Macaca fascicularis: one gene and its partner. The protein of the gene in region 1 purifies or fractionates together with the protein of each later gene. This does not show direct contact. Links are inferred from orthologs where the notes say so. Each region holds a gene or a part of one and is shown in the gene's direction. Other genes may lie near its edges.

Region 1 (3,811 bases):
ATTAGAAAATAATCATATCAGATTCTTTCAGTTGAGCAAAGTGATATATTGACATGGGGAATTTTCTGGTGTGACACAAAGAAGGTTTCCCCTAGGAATATTTGTAATTTTAAAACTTGTATGAAAACAATCAGTGGATTTTGATATGCAGTTTTAAACTTCAAAATTAACACCTTTTTATGGGTTATCATTAACCTGGTGATAATTTTATTAATTGTGCCAATTAAGCTAAAACAAATCTGTATTCTCATATTTTAGTTTGCACTGGGTGAATGACCTTCCTAGAGCACTTGAGCAGGTAAGAAAACTTACGTTCATTCAACTATCTTGTGTTATTTTCTTTATTGTTGGAAACCTACAGGTGTTTCCATTTTCACAAACTATTTACTTGTAGGTCTGACAGTTGGGAAAGGAATCAGTGAAATCACCTGGTGCCATTTGGCGTATTAGTAGTACATTGGGCAACTCTCCTTTCCCTGAGAATTTAAGAAATCTAATTGTAGAGATAAGTTTTAAATATGAACAGGCTAGAAACTGTGCAAAATAATATTGATATCATAAGACATTCTCTGTGTGGATTCCTTCTTGTTTCTTATAGTTTAATTGCCTATAAACTTTTTGTGAGTAGGAACTTACTTATTTATATTTGTATTTTCCCAATGCCTTATACTCAGAGAGTACTAGGTAAATTTTTATTAATTCACACGTATCAATAGACAGGTGAGAGGCAGGTAAAAAGTATGTGTTCAAAGGAGAGAACAAGATCACTGTGGCTTGACGTGGCCTAGAAAAGCTTCAAGAGGAAAGTACTTGAGCAGGGCCTTAGAGGGTGGGTGAAATTTGGATTGGGAAGGCATTCTAAGAAGGGAGAATCGCAGGATAGGTGGAGAGGCACAAGAGCCTCATCAGCATTAAGGAACCAAAAGGAAACCTGTTTGGGGGACTAGTATGGTTCTGGGAAATGAAATGTGATATATTGGGACAGTATTTAGGAGGACTTGAGTGTCAGGTTGAGGAATTTGGAGTTTATGCAATTCAGAGCCACTGGAGCACTTTGAAGAGGAAAATGACATCATGACAAAGCTGGTGGGCAAAATAATAATGGCCATATCTGAATGCGTATAATTTTCCAGTTTCCATTTGCTGTGCTCTGTTTTATATTTGTGTTAAATAGCTCTGCAAGATATATTTGTTTTGCTGATTAGAAAGTGATGCCTGTGCCGGATGCGGTGGCTCATGCCTGTAATCCCAGCACTTTGGGAGGCCGAGGCTGGTGGATCACCTGAGGTTAGGAATTCGAGATCAGACTGGCCAACATGGTGAAACTCCGCCTGTACTAAAAATACAAAAATTAGCCAGGCGTGGTGGCAGGTGCTTGTAATCCTAGCTACTTGGGAGGCTGAGGCAGGAGATTCTCTTGAACCCGGGAGGCAGAGGTTGCAGTGAGCTAAGATCACACCATTGCACTCCAGCTTAGGCGACAGAGTGAGACTCTGTCTCAAAAACAAACAAACAAACAAACGAAAAACTGATGCCTGGAGCAGTTGGTTAAATTGAAGGGAGACTATTTCAGTGGTCCAAGGAGGAGATAAACTAAATCTAGGTGGTAATGGTAGGAGTTAAAAGGAAGAGTATTTAGGACTCTACAAAGAAAGAATCAAGTTTAGTGGCTGATTAGATCTGAAGATCAAACGGGGGAGGCAAAGCTCACTTTCAGGTTTTGAGTCTGGATTAGTAAAAGTAGGAGAAAGAATGTTGATGGTCAGATAAAGGGAATAGAAGGTGGCAATAGAAATATGGCAGTTGGACAGGGGAATTGATTTGATAAATAGGTGTTTTCCTTGTGGTGGTTGGAGGGAGCAGGGCCGATAAGTATGCTGAGAGACAAATGTCCAGGGAATAGGCAGTTGAAGATGATTTTAGACTTTAAGAAGATGGCCAAGCTGAAGTTAGAGATTGGAAAGTGGTCATTGTGAAATCATGGAAGTTGATAAGCCGTTTGACGGAGAGTGGGGGCTACAGACTTCTGAGGACTAAGTCTTAGGTGTTTGGTTTAGTAGAGTTTGATGACAAGAAGAGGAAGCAACACTAAAGGTGAAGAAGGGAAGGAACCATAGCCTTTACAAATTATTAATACTGCTTTTAATAGCTTCATGATATATTAAATATACATTTAAGACAGTGCTTTTATTAGAAGAGCCTACTGTGATTTGGATTCTGGTTTACTTCAGAATCTACCTTTTCCTGTAAGGGTCCTCATTGCTGAGAATAGTCATTCAAAGTAGTTACAGCTTGTAGTCTGAGAGTGAGCAAAATCTGTGGTACTGGAATTCACTCTGGCCATTATTTTCCTTAAGCTACCAATTAGAACTTGGTTTTGTTTTAAAGCTGGAAAATAAATTAATTACTTCTCTTTAAAGAAAACTAATACGTTTCTAGGTTAATGCTGTGAATCATAATGAGTTCTCTGTAGCTTATTCTGCATAATAAGGCACCCCAACTTGATGGCTTAAAACAACAACTGTGTAGCCCACGATTTTGTGGGTTGGCAGTTGGGGCTGGATTTGGTTAGGAAATCTGGGTCTGGCTTAGCTCGTCCATGTGTCTGTGATCAGCTGCCAGATTGTCTGGGAGCTAGCTGGTTTGGAGGGCCTCGGTGTGCACAGCTGGCTGATCTCAGCTCCACATCCTCCTCCTCCGCTAGGCTAGCTCAGGCTTGTTCACACATTGTGGCTGGGCTGGGCTCCAAGAGAGCAGGTGGAAGCATGCAACACATTTGAGACCTAGACTTGGAACTGGCACACTGTCACTTCCACTGCATTCTTTTGGCCAAAGCAAGTCACAAGTCCAGCCAAGATTCAAGGGGAGGGGAAATAGACTCCCTATCTTGATGAAAGTTGTTAGAAAATGACAGTTCAGAGGCCATAGATACAGGGAGGTTTGTGATTTTTGCAGCCTACCCCAATTAAAGATTTTTTTCTCTTTCAGCATTTTTCTGATTATAAAACTAAGTTGTACCTATTAGAAAACTTGAAAACATACAACATATTTTTATAGGCATTAATATTAGTGAATGTATAGTTGTCTTTCCAAGTATATTATGCATCATGATTTTCTGACAGTTGGTTGCATTAGAATGTTATTTGTTAAATTCTGTGATTATTAATTTGGCATAATAGGAATGGTTGTCATAAAATGTTGATTTAGACACTATATATTTTTTAACATTTATATATGTAAAAATTTGAATCATTTTGTTGTCTTGTATTTATTACAGATTCATTATATTTTAAAACCAGATGGAGTGTTTATCGGTGCAATGTTTGGAGGCGACACACTCTATGAACTTCGGTGTTCCTTACAGTTAGCGGAAACAGAAAGGGAAGGAGGATTTTCTCCACACATTTCTCCTTTCACTGCTGTCAATGACCTGGGACATCTGCTTGGGAGAGCTGGCTTTAATACTCTGACTGTGGTAACTATCAAGTTTGATTAACCCATTACTTACACAGTTCAGAAGTAACTTATTTTCATTTTAAAGATAGAAAACTGTATGTGTTCATGGTTTTATGGCACTCTTTCTTTCCCCCTTTTTTTTCTTTTTTTTAAGGGAAAAGCCCTGATTGACAATGCTTAGTTTGTATAACACATCTTAATTGACACGAGGTAGGAATGTATAATTTTTTACTGTCTGTTACCTTAAAAAGTAGCTCAAAAAATGTATCACAGATAACAAGACAAATTTCTAAACATACAACTCCGTCAGAATCTTCAAATCCAGAATTAGGTGTAAAAAGGGGCTTAGAGTATT
Region 2 (3,911 bases), on another chromosome or scaffold:
CTCTCCTGTACCTACCTACTGACTAGCAAAGCCAAACAAGGCCCAGGCAAGCGCTTTTCCACGCAGAGGACTATGAATAGTTCCACCTCCCAAGAGCCCGGATTGGCAGAGTGACAGCCGCTCAGCCTGACTGGCTCCATCGCTCCCCAAGAACCGACCGATGTCGTGTGTTTTATGTTCGCTAACAGCAGATGGACTTATTGGTTTCATGCTGACTTACTGGCACAAAGATGTAGAGTTTATAGGGATGAAAACTGGAACCACCCATTTTTGCATTATTCAGTTTCAGGACACAACAGAGTTCAAGAGTATTTAAGAGGACAAGCATGGGACCGACCACGTGAGGTGCTGAAGCCTTTCAGTTGGCAGCGCGGAGATCTAGTGACAACACACGCAAACGTGGACCTGAAGTGTTTCCCGAGGCTGTGGACACACATCACTGACACTATTTGCCCACCAAGCCCTAAGGGGAGCTAGACAGGTTTGCAGGTGACAGCTGACAACGGCAGAACGCAGCACACAACGACTCTGTCCAAACCTTGCACTGAGAGCTTTGACCAACCCTAGCGTGGCTTCTGGCAGCCCAAGGCCGCGCCCTGGGCCCACTCAGCCCCCTCTGAGGTTCAGCCTAGGAAAGCTGAGGGCTGACAAAAGAGGGCGGTTTGCTCAGGACGACACCTGGGAACTGGCCCGGCCTCTCCTTCTCAGAGCGTTTACTAAGAGGGGCTTACAACGGTGTGTCCTTCCCTGTCCCTTCGAAATGTCTGTGTTCTCTGCAACCCAGGGGTGCCTCTCCAGGACCGGAGTCCTCTGAAACGCCACCGTTAGGGAGGACGGCGGGCGGCCAGCCCACCTGGGCGCCGGCAGCACGGACACAGCGGCTCCACGTCCACTGGGTCCGCCGCTCCTTCCCTCCTGTCGGAGCCCACTGAATGCTGGCGGAGGCCTGTTCGTTCCCCCAGGGTCTGGCTGTACCCATCGCCCTTGCGCTCGGTGGGTCCGGCTTGGGAGGCCCCGGGACGGCGCGGCGGGCGGGCAGCTCAGGGGCGTCGGCGCGGGCGAAGGGGCCGGCAGCAGCTACCCGGCGCGGAGACGCAAGGTCAACGGCTCAAGCCCGGGGCGAGTCCGGGGAACGCGGCGCTCGAGAGAAGCCGTGGGGCCGGGGCCCGGGCGGACCGCCCTCACTCACCCGGTGTAGAAAGCTCAGGCGGTCCCGTAGCGGCGGCGCGGCAGCCATGATCCAAGTCCCCTCCCGGTCTGCCCCGCTTCCGCCAGGCCCGGGCTCTCCAATCACTGCGCGGGTCTGGCTCCGCCGGCCAATCCCTCGCGGCGGGGCGGGCCCTGAGGTTGGCTTCGTAAACAATTTGAGCCTAGGCCAATCCGAAGTCCCAGGGCACAGACAGACTAGGACAAGAGCCAATTGCAGGGGCTCTGGCCAATTAAGAAGCGCAGGAAAGGTTATGGGCGGAAGCGCCGACCTATCAAGCTGTTTGACACCGGAAGAGGCTGGACCTAAGATGACGGCGCCCAGGGGCTCTGGGAACAGCCACTCATGTCTGTGAACGGAGCTGTGTGGGGCCGCGTGCGAAGCCGCCTCCGCGCCTTCCCCGAGCGGCTGGCCGCCTGCGGGGCCGAGGTGAGGAGCCGCGGGCAGGCCAGTGCTGCTGGACAGGAGGAGCAGCGCGGGGAGGTGACTGGGAGGGAGGGCGGTGACGGGATCAAGGGACCCCATGACCCGCGCCCATCCCCTCCGCAGGCCGCGGCGTACGGCAGGTGCGTGCAGGCCTCCACGGCCCCAGGCGGCAGCCTAAGCAAGGACCTCTGCGCGCGGGAGTTCGAGGCCCTGCGGAGCTGCTTCGCCGCCGCGGTAGGTGGGCGCGGGCCCCTCCTAGCCCTTCCCCTCCAAGATCCAGGGGGCCCCAGCTTTCCTTTGCTTTCCCGTTGGTTCAAGGTTTGAGCGCCTGCCGCGTGCTTTAGACGCCGGCTGACCAAACCACCGAGCCACGGACGAGCCCGCGAAACCTCGGCCGTCCCGGGTTTGTCCCTGCGTGTTTGTAAACCGGGACTGGCACCAACCTCAGAAAGGATGGGAAATGTGTGCACTAAAGCGCCTGGTAAAACGCGTAAGCTTTCGTGTTAGCACTGCCGCCGAGGGGTGTCAGGCCAGGATCGACCCAACACAGGACTCCCAGAAAGTGCCCAGCGCCTTCCGGGTCTTCATCTCCCTTCACTTGCAGCCCGCCCCGTGCAGCTGCAGTGGATTCCTTCAGCGCCTGTCCTGCCGGGCACCCCCAGCCACCCTCACAACTGGCACCATAGGGCTTCAAGTCATTCTGAGGCTGGTTCCCTAAGTGTCAGCCTCTCTGGGTACCACCTCAGTGTATCTGGGGTAGGCCGTGATGCCAGTGCTGACTCTTGTTTACTGGGAGCTATTAATCCGCAGATTTGGACCAGAGAAAGGGTAGTTGAACAAGAGCTCCATGGCCTTCATAGCTACCCGGCCCTAGCAGCCTTGGATCCAGGGGTGGGTAACTCATCAGAAGTTGCACTTTTTGCCGGGTATGGTGGCGCATGCCTGTAATCCTACCACTTTGGGAGGCTGAGGCGGGTGAATTGCTTCAGCCTAGAAGTTTGAGACCAGCCTGGGCAACATACGGAGACCCTGTCTCTACAAAAAAAAAAAAAAAAAAAAAATTAGCCGGGCCTGGTGATGTAGTCCCAGCTACTTGGGAGGCTGAGGTGGAAGATCACTTGAACCTGGGAGGTGAAGGTTGTAGTGAGCCGAGATTGCGCCACCGTACTCCAGCCTGGGCGACAAAGCGAGACTGCATCTCAAAAAAAAAAAAAAAAACAGCCGGGCGCGGTGGCTCAAGCCTGTAATCCCAGCACTTTGGGAGGCTGAGACGGGCGGATCACAAGGTCAGGAGATCGAGACCATCCTGGCTAACACGGTGAAACCCCGTCTCTACTAAAAAATACAAAAAGCTAGCCGGGCGAGGTGGCGGGCGCCTGTAGTCCCAGCTACTCGGGAGGCTGAGAAAGGAGAATGGCGTAAACCCGGGAGGCGGAGCTTGCAGTGAGCTGAGATCCGGCCACTGCACTCCAGCCTGGGCGACAGAGCGAGACTCCGTCTCAAAAAAAAAAAAAAAAAAAAAAAAAAAAAAAAAAAAAAAAAAAAAAAAAAAAAAAAAAAAAAAAAAAAAAACTTGGGGGGCTCCTGCTTTCCCTTTATGAGAGCTTGGGTCCCAGTGTGGCATCTGGTGGGGGCTCAGAGGAGGGTGCAGCAGTGAGTTCCATGACAGTGTCATGAGGCCCTTGTCCCATGGACAAGTGACACAGAGAACTGGCCCATGGGGCCCAGGCTCCAACCAGTCGAGCCCCCACCACATGCCAGCACCACGTTCTCTGTAAGGTATTTGCGTAGAACACGACATTTAGTGTGGTAGCTTTCTTTTGAGCCATATCTAACTTGGAAGCAAGCCATTCAGACAAAACACTTTGTCTTGCAGGCCAAGAAGACGCTGGAGCGAGGCTGTTAGGAGGGACTCTGAGCTTCACACCTGACTGCTGCCGTGGGTGCGGTGCCCTCGTCCTCATGGCCCCTGGTGGCACACATTGAATGCCTAGGGCAGAAAGGAAGTGGGAATGGCGAAGATGTGACGTTCCTGGGTGTTAGATCCTGTATTTCTTCTTCTTAACAAGTTGAGGCGTGGGTAGAGCAGGAATTGGTTTTCCAGTGTTGTGTCTGTAAATCTGAGTTCGAATAAGATACAATGGAAGCCACGGTAAAGACCCCGTTAAGTCCTGCAGCCTGGGGCTTACTGTGTGCAGACTGTGACATGTGGGTCTTGGCCTCTCCGAGGTGGAATGGGGCCCAAAGCCTTTCCCCCAAAACTGGAAGGGCTGGGACT

The links.
Region 2: the proteins of NDUFAF5 (region 1) and NDUFAF8 purify together in Homo sapiens (affinity purification with mass spectrometry; 3 studies listed by BioGRID and IntAct, counting the BioPlex papers as one, with this or other methods). This does not show direct contact. The link is inferred for Macaca fascicularis from reciprocal best matches to the Homo sapiens genes NDUFAF5 and NDUFAF8.

The regions. Positions count from the first base shown.
Region 1 is NC_088384.1:73,561,827-73,565,637, reverse strand, and holds part of NDUFAF5 (arginine-hydroxylase NDUFAF5, mitochondrial), read left to right. Parts: intron 1-258; coding exon 259-298; intron 299-3,277; coding exon 3,278-3,475; intron 3,476-3,811. UniProt on the Homo sapiens protein: Arginine hydroxylase that mediates hydroxylation of 'Arg-111' of NDUFS7 and is involved in the assembly of mitochondrial NADH:ubiquinone oxidoreductase complex (complex I, MT-ND1) at early stages. May also have methyltransferase activity.
Region 2 is NC_088390.1:87,662,219-87,666,129, forward strand, and holds NDUFAF8 (NADH dehydrogenase [ubiquinone] 1 alpha subcomplex assembly factor 8), read left to right. Parts: upstream 1-1,548; 5' UTR 1,549-1,552; coding exon 1,553-1,636; intron 1,637-1,756; coding exon 1,757-1,867; intron 1,868-3,509; coding exon 3,510-3,539; 3' UTR 3,540-3,790; downstream 3,791-3,911. Other genes in the region: AP-4 complex accessory subunit tepsin, read right to left, coding at 1,190-1,237. UniProt on the Homo sapiens protein: Involved in the assembly of mitochondrial NADH:ubiquinone oxidoreductase complex (complex I, MT-ND1). Required to stabilize NDUFAF5.